Linked DNA regions of Arabidopsis thaliana. The protein of the gene in region 1 interacts with the protein of each later gene in a pairwise test. Each region holds a gene or a part of one and is shown in the gene's direction. Other genes may lie near its edges. The genes, in order: ISU1 and SCL3.

Region 1 (4,750 bases):
ATGCGATCAGATATTTATTATACCAACTCGAATTGTATATTACTATATTATGACAGCTAAAAAAACGTTAAACACGTATTTTGTTTAGTCAACTTTTAGATAGTAATCAACAATGCCAAAAAAAGTGGTAAATGCTAAATAAAATCAATTAGCTAAATAGAAAAACTATAGTTAATAAACTAGCTAACTACATCTACATATTGTTCTAAATTGGTGAATAAGTGTCTATACCGACGGACAAGTGTGTTTTCTCAACACATCTATTAAACTTTGTTAGGAACAAGTATTTATCAGTTTCTCCCTTAATTCAATTCTTATTTGTATAAATCATAAGACGGATAATTTAACATTTGCAAGAATTAATGTACTCGTATAAAATTCTTTTTGTTGATTTTTTCCCCTCCGATTTAGATTTCAATTAGACAAAAATAAAAAAAATAAAAAAATATGATGAATAGGTCAGGTCATAATCGGAAAACAATCCAACTTTATTTAAGACTTGACAATTCAAAACAAACAGATCTGTAGAAGGCAAACACTCAAATATAGATTTTGAGCTGAAATCATTAACATGCAAATCGCAAAACACAGACACAAAGTGACGTCGTTTTGTATCATTTGCAAATCACATGCTTTCCTTTTCAGCACCACGCTGTACATCACGGCAGCAAACACATAACCCCATACCAGTAATACCACCAACAGGTATGCATCGGCCTCCAATAAACTTGCTGTCCAATTGCTTGCATGGTTCAATACAAGTAGAGCTCTTCTCATAACTATTACATTCACCTTTATCGTAGTCACACACTTGCCTCCCATCTACTTCTGTCCAATCAATAGGAAGATACTACATTTTATAAACATGTTTTATTTTAGATCTTGGGATCAAAGACTTTGGTTTTTTTTACGTACCTGTAGGAGATATGAGGAGAATGGAGAGACAAACGACTACTGCAATAGCGACTGTGCTCAACCTTAAGCTCCCCATTAATTGCTTATTAGTTCTTAGCTTCTTTCTTTCTATTTTGTTTCCCTCTCTCTCTTTGTGATTGATTCATTTAGGCAAAAGGCGAGTTTTTAATTTATAGCTAGCACTGGACAAGTCGTTGGGATTAAAATGACGTAAGATATATGATTTTAAGACAAATCATTTTAAATAGTTAACTGAATACACCCCCGACTCTTATTGTAGATGATCAATACTATTGTATTGTGTAGATAAAGATAGATATTTAGAATCTTTCGTTTGATTTCTTCATTAAATTAGTCAACTTTTAGATACTAATCAACAATGCCAAAGAAAGTGGTAGATGCTAAATCAACGGAGACCAAGCGCTCATCATCATCATTGATTCATTTTTCCTTCAATCATATTTGTTTGTTTGTTTTTGCTTTTTATTAGTATATCTGAAACCTTTGTCCAAAAAAAAATATTATATCTGAAACCAATTGCATGCATAATGAAACTTAAATTTTTGTTTGTTTCTCGGTACCACATGTTTCACGGTATAGATGCATAATGAACTCGTGTCTTAAAATAACTTTATATTTACGAATCTATATGTACTACTTTAAAAAATACATATTAATATATTTTAAAATCCATATTTCTCAATCCTCAACTTAATTTGCTATCTAACTCGCTTCACGAGAAGCTTTCCAAATCTCAGATCTATTACTTGATCTTGCTTCCAATCCGTTCCGGTGGTGCCGTCTAAAAATAACAGACAAATATATTTGTTAATGTTGCAAAACGACTTTTCAAATGATCAAGATCAACCATTAACCAAATATATGTTTACCATAGGACAATGCACAGTCGTAGATGGCTCCTCACAACTTATCTAGACGAAGACATTCGCCTATAATGTTGTTATAGCCTATAACTTATAGGTTTAATTGTTATGATTAACTATACGTTAATGAATTAAGGTTAATTTTAAATAGACTGTTTCATCACTTGAAATTTGAGAACTTTCTATACACATACTAAATCATCATGACTATTGTTTGCGTAAAAGAAGTATGTTCCGATTCAATTGTAAACTTGAAAAGTACGATTTATGAGCGATAGGTCTTATAAACTATAACATTTGAAGGATATCAAAAATATAATTGAAAAGAAAAAGTCAACTTATCAAAATCTCAATCTAAAGTTTAGGTTAGCGTCTCAAGTTAGCTAATACTAAAAGAAAAAATCAAAGGAAAAAAAGAAAAGAAAAAAGAAATAGCAAATATCTCAGAACCATCTAAACCGTCCACGTGTCCCCTCGCTTATCTCTCTGTCTGAAACCAAACCGACTTCTTCTCACAACCCTTAAAGGAAAAGTCCGATCTCATTTCTCATTACCAAAATCAGCGGAGCAAAAGTTACTTCCGAAACCCTAAAAAAAACACGATGATGCTCAAGCAAGCTGCGAAGAAGGCCCTAGGGCTTACGTCACGTCAATCAACACCGTGGTCTGTTGGTATCCTCCGAACCTACCATGAGAACGTCATCGACCACTACGATAATCCCCGCAACGTTGGGTCTTTCGATAAGAATGATCCCAACGTTGGTACGGGACTCGTAGGAGCTCCCGCTTGTGGTGATGTGATGAAGCTTCAAATCAAGGTCGATGAGAAGACTGGTCAAATCGTTGATGCTCGCTTTAAGACTTTTGGTTGTGGTTCAGCCATCGCTTCTTCATCTGTTGGTATGTTTATATTCTAATTTCGTGTTTTGTTCGATTGAGGATTGAATTAGAGAAATTAAATGATTTCAATTAGGGATTTTGATTAGTCTTTCTCAAATGGAGAAATTAGGTTTTAAATTGATGGGTTCGTGTAGAGATTCGGTGTTCAAATTTGGGATTGGTGTCGTTAATGACAAATTAGTGCATGATTTGGTCAGTTGAGACGTTTTTATTGGTGATTCAATGCTGAATTTGTAATACTCCTAGTCTCCTAATGTTATTGAGAAAGATTTCATCTTTTTGATGCGATGTCGTCAGTTTCTGGCTTAGCTTCTATGTGGGAGCTATCTTCTCTCTGGGGATTTGTTGCTGTTATCTAATGTATGATTCATTTTTACGTTTTTTTCAGCCACTGAATGGGTGAAAGGCAAAGCTATGGAGGATGTTCTGACCATCAAAAACACGTAAGTACCGTCTGTTTCTATTCATTTTATGCAGATATTAACATAATCTGTTGTGAGTTGTTGTGTTATGCCAATCAGTGTTGTCTAATTGGTTAAACTCATTAAATGTTGATATACCAGTTACTGTGTTTCATGACTGTTATTTTGTTTTGAGGAACTTGGTCACTGGACTTTGTCTGTTGGTACAATATTGGTTGCTGGTTAGTATGCCCTGTGTTCCTATTCATGTTTTGCAGATTTTTAACATAAATATGAACACTCGTGTTATCTAATTGCTGCACTCATTGAATGTTGACATACCTGAGACGAAGTAATGTGATTATTTTGTTTAGATGAACTTAGTTACTGGATTTTGGTCAATTGGTCTGAGATTGGTTACTGGTTTGGTTTGTATGGTATTTAAGGTTTTCCAGCCTATAATGATGCAGACCTCTTGACTTCTTTTTCTTAGACAAAGTAAACATTGTGATTTCTGTCATGGAGTTTCTCAATATCTGAAGACTTACTCTGAATGTGTGCTTCTCTTTCTGTGATTTATTTTGCCAGCGAAATCGCAAAGCATCTTTCTCTCCCACCAGTCAAGCTCCACTGCAGTATGTTGGCGGAGGACGCTATCAAGGCAGCTGTGAAAGACTACAAGGAGAAGCGTGTGAAGACAAATGGTGCTGCAGCAGCAGGAGAAACCACACAGGCTTGATTCCTTTTACTAGTGTGTATACCATAATGTGTATATGATGGTGAAAACAGGGGAGAAGTAGAAGAGGATGATACATACAACCTATGGTATGTTGTAATGTTCAAGACTTAAGGAGTATTTTAGAATAAACTCTGTTCACAGAAACGTGTAAGAATGATTTTGCTTCGGCCCTGTAGTTTTTGCTGTTTTATGCACCGATGTGATGTAATGTTTTCTCTCTTCTTTGGGAGGTTTATAAATTACAACTTTGACAGACAAATTTTCAATTTTCAATTTTGACATTATAATTTTCTCTGCATGGAACTATGTGGGTGTAGCTTGACTTATCATCTCTCTGTTCCTGAATTGTCACAAAACATCCAACCTTTATTCGAAACGTTATCTCTGTTATTGGATTAAGCAGAGTACAACAAACAAAAGCAAAGCAGAGTAGAACAAAGCGATGTCGATTATATGGTTTCGGAATCACATGTTTTCTTATTGAGCACCGATACTATCATAATAGCAGCAGAAACAAGCCGTCCACACGCTCGGCCTATCCCTTGGACGGCACTTGCCATCAAAAAAAGTCTGTCCAGCCCTCGTTTTGAACTTGATGCAACTCTCCTTGCAATCACGGAAAGGAGTACAAGCACCTAATGGGAAGTCACAGCTTCCATCCACTTCTGTCGACACGAACAGCCACATACATTTATAACAAAAACTTGTGTATCTATGTAGTTAGAGATCTTGATTTTACGTACCGGTGGGAGATAGGAGGACCGATAGACAAACGACTATTGTAGCAACAACAACTGTTCTCAACCTCAAGCTCCTCATTGCTGATCTCTCTTTGTGATTTTATCAGCAAAAGGCTTTCAATTTATACGTCTCAACCAAACACATTTTCTCTTCACTACTTCTACATTATT
Region 2 (5,383 bases), on another chromosome or scaffold:
CTTAAGTGCTTTCTTCTGGACCGTACCGGCTCTCTTCGATAACGTAAAATACTATCCATCTATTTGCTATATTCGAAGCTCTTCTTGCAAGTTAAACGCACTTAACATATAAATCATCTTTGTTTAAACCAGTTCTTGGCATACTTCTACGTCATATTTCTCACCCTTCTTCTCTTTGATCGAGCCAAGAGAGACGATGACCGATGCCGATCAAAGTAAGCACCAAATCTAAATGATTTATTTTACACATCCTCTTTGATCTTACTCTGATTTGCTGACAATATTCGGGTTTTGTTTTGGTAAAAAGGTATGGGAAATATTGGAAGCTGTATTGTGAGAAAGTCAAATACAGGATCATTCCGGGAATTTATTGATTGTAACGAAGTCTGTTGTTCTCATTTTCTACTTATTACGTTAATTCGAACGTTGGAATCATCAAAAGACCGTGCCAAAACAAAAATGCAAATTGATGCGATAGACATTCTTTTGCTGATTTGTATGCTATAGGTTTTCAAATCTCTAGCTACACTTATGTATTTCCCTAGATTATCAAAGTTAGCCTGCCGTTTTCTAATTTTATTATTTGATATTTTGATTATACTGCTTCTTAATGCATCAAATAAGTTGATTCATCCATCTAATATTTTAACTACATCAAATGAAGTCTTTTATAAGTACAGGCACTAATTGAACTTGAACCCTATAAAATACATGAATAATCACAAAGAATTGATAGTGTTCTTTCAGTTTTTCAATCACAAAGAACTCACCGACATTATCAAGTTGACTTCACTTTTAGACTTAATTGGTGTTCTGGAGGATCCACAAAACTACTATTACACAGTTTTCACAAAATTGTGATTCTTTATTTTTTATTTTCTTTGGTCAAACTAACATTTCATTCAACTTTAAACGAGAGTTGCCTCCACGTGGAGAGTATACACAAAAAGCTACGAGGACAAATGCTCAAACAAAAAGACATAAGAAGGGGAGCTCAGAAGCTCAACCCGAGTAGCAGCATCCAAAGTTGCTAAAACAGAACCATCATTTACTTCTGAGGCGGTCTTCGTACCAAGCTCCTTCAGCAAAATTGTGATTCTATGTTTGGATATCATGAGATCTAACTACAAAGTTTTTAATAACAAAAACTTACCATTCTCTAATTTGTAGTCAAAGCTAAACAAATTTCATACTAAAACAATTTTACTGTGTTGTTATGGATGCATATTTTTCTCACTTTATAGTACTATTTTACTATTGATAAGATGAAAAAAAAGTTGAGGTACAATAGTAGTAAAATAGCATCATTCTTTTTCTGTAGAATCTCTCTGGTCAATGGTCTTTTTAGTTTAAAAACTGAATAATGTTCTCTCTCACACAGTAAAAAACAAAGAGAGAGAGAAAGAAGAGAAGAAGACAAAAATGTAGGCATTAAAAAGAAGAAAAAGACAAAGAGAAAAGTAATGAAAAGACAATGAACATTTAAAGAAGACAGACAAATCCCACACCCAAGCCTCAGCCTCATCTCTTTTATTGTTATTTGTTTTTCTAACAAAACAACAAAAACAAAAGAGATGGTTTTTGGGTTTTGTTTTGTCTTTGTTAGGGCGTGTTTGGACGTTTCCTTCTTCTCAGAATCAATATTTTACCAAAACAGCTTTCTTTTTTTCTCTTTAACAATTTTTTTGATGTAGAAATATATAGTCATGATTCCAAATCCACCTCATGCCATGACAAAAACCCATAAAAGTGGAGGTTCCAATCTCGAATACAGACATATATGTTGTATTCGTGTATGTATCTATTATAAGATAATTCCAATTTGTATAATGCCAAATGGGTTCATTGAACTTCTTCTTCCTTCATAATTAAGTGTTGCTTTTTCTTCTTAGTTCCTCTAAATCAAGAAAATTCTAGGTGAAACTTCTCTTATCTTGACTTTATATAAAATAATAACTATAAAAATAATCAATAAGACTAATTCCTACAAGTCTTACAAATTTAAAAGAAAATGAAAATGCAACATTAGCTAATACACATAATAGTATAAGATTGATGGATGTATTCTTATTCAGTTTTATTTATAAATGCAACATAAGCTAATACACTCTCATTCAGTTTTATTTATTAATGTTACACCACTTTAAGAGCACTCAAAATCAAAATACGTATTCTTATATGATATTCATTCATGTAGTACTAGTACACATAATAGTATAAGATAGATGGATGGGATTGGAAAATTTGACAACCTTTTGTTTAATAATTCCTTAAAACCAAGGAAAGAAGAAAGAGGAAACGAAAAAAACAAAAAGGAAGAAGACAAAACCGACTATCACGCATTGTCTGGTACGTAGAGCCAAAAGGAACAATGCCTCTGTTTTAGTGTTTTCTTTCTTAAAGTTTTTTCCCAAAACACAAACAACATTTCACACACACGCTATTACTCACAAGATAACCACCAGAGACGTGGATAGAGAGATAAAGATTGAGAGAACCCTCTCACTCCCAAAAAAAAAGCTTTAGACATTTTCTCTAAATCCATGTAAGTTTTTTTCTTTGGTTATTGTTGTTTGTTATCTTCTTTGATCATTTGCTATTATTTTGTTTTGTTTCTTTCTTAGTTTATCAAATTAGGAAAGTTTTAATTCAGCTCTCTGTTTGTGTTTCTTCGTCTATATCTATTTCAAATAGTTTAACTAGATTCAAAGGTTTTTAAAATTCAGTACTTTCTCTGCAAACCCTAGTTCCTCTGTTCTTTAACCCCCTTTTTTGTTAAACTGCAGATTCTCTGCATCTTTCAAGAAATTCCGAATCGTGGGTTTGGTTCTTCTCGTTACGAGTCTCTCAAAGTTTAAATCTTTCTTTACAAAAAAGGTTACTTTTGGTTCTGAGTAAATCAAAATCAAGCTTTTGGCCTTCAATGGTGGCTATGTTTCAAGAAGATAATGGAACATCTTCTGTAGCTTCATCACCACTTCAAGTCTTCTCAACTATGTCACTCAACAGACCGACTCTCCTCGCTTCTTCATCTCCGTTTCATTGTCTCAAAGATCTCAAACCAGAGGAGCGTGGTCTCTACTTAATCCACCTCTTGCTAACTTGTGCCAACCACGTGGCTTCAGGTAGCCTCCAAAACGCTAACGCAGCGCTCGAGCAGCTCTCTCACCTCGCTTCTCCTGACGGCGACACGATGCAGCGAATCGCTGCTTACTTCACCGAAGCGCTTGCTAACAGAATCCTTAAGTCCTGGCCTGGTCTTTACAAGGCTCTTAACGCAACTCAGACAAGAACTAACAATGTCTCTGAGGAGATTCATGTTAGAAGACTCTTCTTTGAGATGTTCCCGATACTCAAAGTCTCTTACTTGCTCACTAATCGAGCTATACTCGAGGCTATGGAAGGAGAGAAGATGGTTCATGTGATTGATCTCGATGCTTCTGAGCCAGCTCAATGGCTTGCTTTGCTTCAAGCTTTTAACTCTAGGCCTGAAGGTCCACCTCATTTGAGAATCACTGGTGTTCATCACCAGAAGGAAGTGCTTGAACAAATGGCTCATAGACTCATTGAGGAAGCAGAGAAACTCGATATCCCGTTTCAGTTTAATCCCGTTGTGAGTAGGTTAGACTGTTTAAATGTAGAACAGTTGCGGGTTAAAACAGGAGAGGCCTTAGCCGTTAGCTCGGTTCTTCAATTGCATACCTTCTTGGCCTCTGATGATGATCTCATGAGAAAGAACTGCGCTTTACGGTTTCAGAACAACCCTAGTGGAGTTGACTTGCAGAGAGTTCTAATGATGAGCCATGGCTCTGCAGCTGAGGCACGTGAGAATGATATGAGTAACAACAATGGGTATAGCCCTAGCGGTGACTCGGCCTCATCTTTGCCTTTACCAAGTTCAGGAAGGACTGATAGCTTCCTCAATGCTATTTGGGGTTTGTCTCCAAAGGTCATGGTGGTCACTGAGCAAGACTCAGACCACAACGGCTCCACACTAATGGAGAGGCTATTAGAATCACTTTACACCTACGCAGCATTGTTTGATTGCTTGGAAACAAAAGTTCCAAGAACGTCTCAAGATAGGATCAAAGTGGAGAAGATGCTCTTCGGGGAGGAGATCAAGAACATCATATCCTGCGAGGGATTTGAGAGAAGAGAAAGACACGAGAAGCTTGAGAAATGGAGCCAGAGGATCGATTTGGCTGGTTTTGGGAATGTTCCTCTTAGCTATTATGCGATGTTGCAGGCTAGGAGATTGCTTCAAGGGTGCGGTTTTGATGGGTATAGAATCAAGGAAGAGAGCGGGTGCGCAGTAATTTGCTGGCAAGATCGACCTCTATACTCGGTATCAGCTTGGAGATGCAGGAAGTGAATGATATATTACAGTTTGTCTTCTATTTTGGTTATGAGCAGAGTCCCTTTCTTTTTTGTATACATGGGGACACAATCTTAGTTGTTTTGTGATGGTGACTTTCTGTCTCTTTATGCTATTTTGGCTTAAATGCTTCTACTGCCTCTGCATGTAAAGCCTTTGTGTGTTGGTTCAATTTGGTCTGGTGTGGGTGTAATACCAAACCAAATCCAATTTGAGCTGAAGATAACTAATTTGATGATCGGTTCAAGTTCAGAACTCCAAATTCTTTCAGAGACCAGCCAAACTTTGCCTATCTTTAAGCAGGTGATCTTGTCATTTGTGTATTGTAAATAACTTAAACTCGGTATATATATTTAGGTTACTAAAGGACATGTTCACTATCCAAAGAGTATACGACTTATCTGCTGTCCAAATACTTTGTAACCTAAAGTTCACGTGCTTCATTTACATTGAATCTAGTTTAACCTAATCTTCTTGCTTCATTTATATTTGAATTTTGTTTAAGCAATCTAGTCTTTATCTTGTCTTAGCAAATTCACAGAGTGTTTCTCATGCAAAAGTGTTGCATGATCAAAACACCTTGATAATAAGATTGAAAGAGTAATGTGATCCCAAAAGGAAAGAAGATCTCGGATGAACTGATTCAGAAAAAGTATATACTCTGATGTTATATATACTATGAGACAACAGCTAAGTTATTTACATATTTCCTCATTTCAAATCTGTGAACCTGAAGAACACAAGAATGCAGCTCATGATCAAAATTCTGAAAGAAGCGAAACTTCGCCAACCCAAGATTTAAGAACAGCTACACCATGAATAGATATTTGAGATCATCAACTGTTAATCGAGTTGCAGAGCTTCCACCATGATCTTCACCAAAGGCAGACGCAACCATTTTTCTTTTCTCTTCCTATAATAATAACCAAAAATCACACAACCACAAATGAGAGAAACTGAGGGGGGAAACAAGTATCAGCTATAAGGGATCTTTACCTGGAGAGCCAA

The links.
Region 2: the proteins of ISU1 (region 1) and SCL3 interact in binary tests that used the Arabidopsis thaliana proteins (3 or more experiments, as listed by UniProt).

Annotation. Positions count from the first base shown.
Region 1 is NC_003075.7:11,758,533-11,763,282, reverse strand, and holds ISU1 (SufE/NifU family protein), read left to right. Parts: upstream 1-2,225; 5' UTR 2,226-2,401; coding exon 2,402-2,699; intron 2,700-3,087; coding exon 3,088-3,142; intron 3,143-3,688; coding exon 3,689-3,839; 3' UTR 3,840-4,180; downstream 4,181-4,750. Other genes in the region: AT4G22230 (defensin-like protein), read right to left, coding at 626-828, 916-991; AT4G22217 (defensin-like protein), read right to left, coding at 4,317-4,504, 4,583-4,658. UniProt on the Arabidopsis thaliana protein: Scaffold protein for the de novo synthesis of iron-sulfur (Fe-S) clusters within mitochondria, which is required for maturation of both mitochondrial and cytoplasmic [2Fe-2S] and [4Fe-4S] proteins.
Region 2 is NC_003070.9:18,677,166-18,682,548, reverse strand, and holds SCL3 (scarecrow-like 3), read left to right. Parts: upstream 1-2,248; 5' UTR 2,249-2,545; intron 2,546-2,786; 5' UTR 2,787-2,923; coding exon 2,924-4,372; 3' UTR 4,373-4,855; downstream 4,856-5,383. Other genes in the region: DWF5 (Ergosterol biosynthesis ERG4/ERG24 family), read left to right, coding at 1-43, 133-215, 308-374; AT1G50410 (SNF2 domain-containing protein / helicase domain-containing protein / zinc finger protein-like protein), read right to left, coding at 5,184-5,288, 5,372-5,383. UniProt on the Arabidopsis thaliana protein: Probable transcription factor involved in plant development.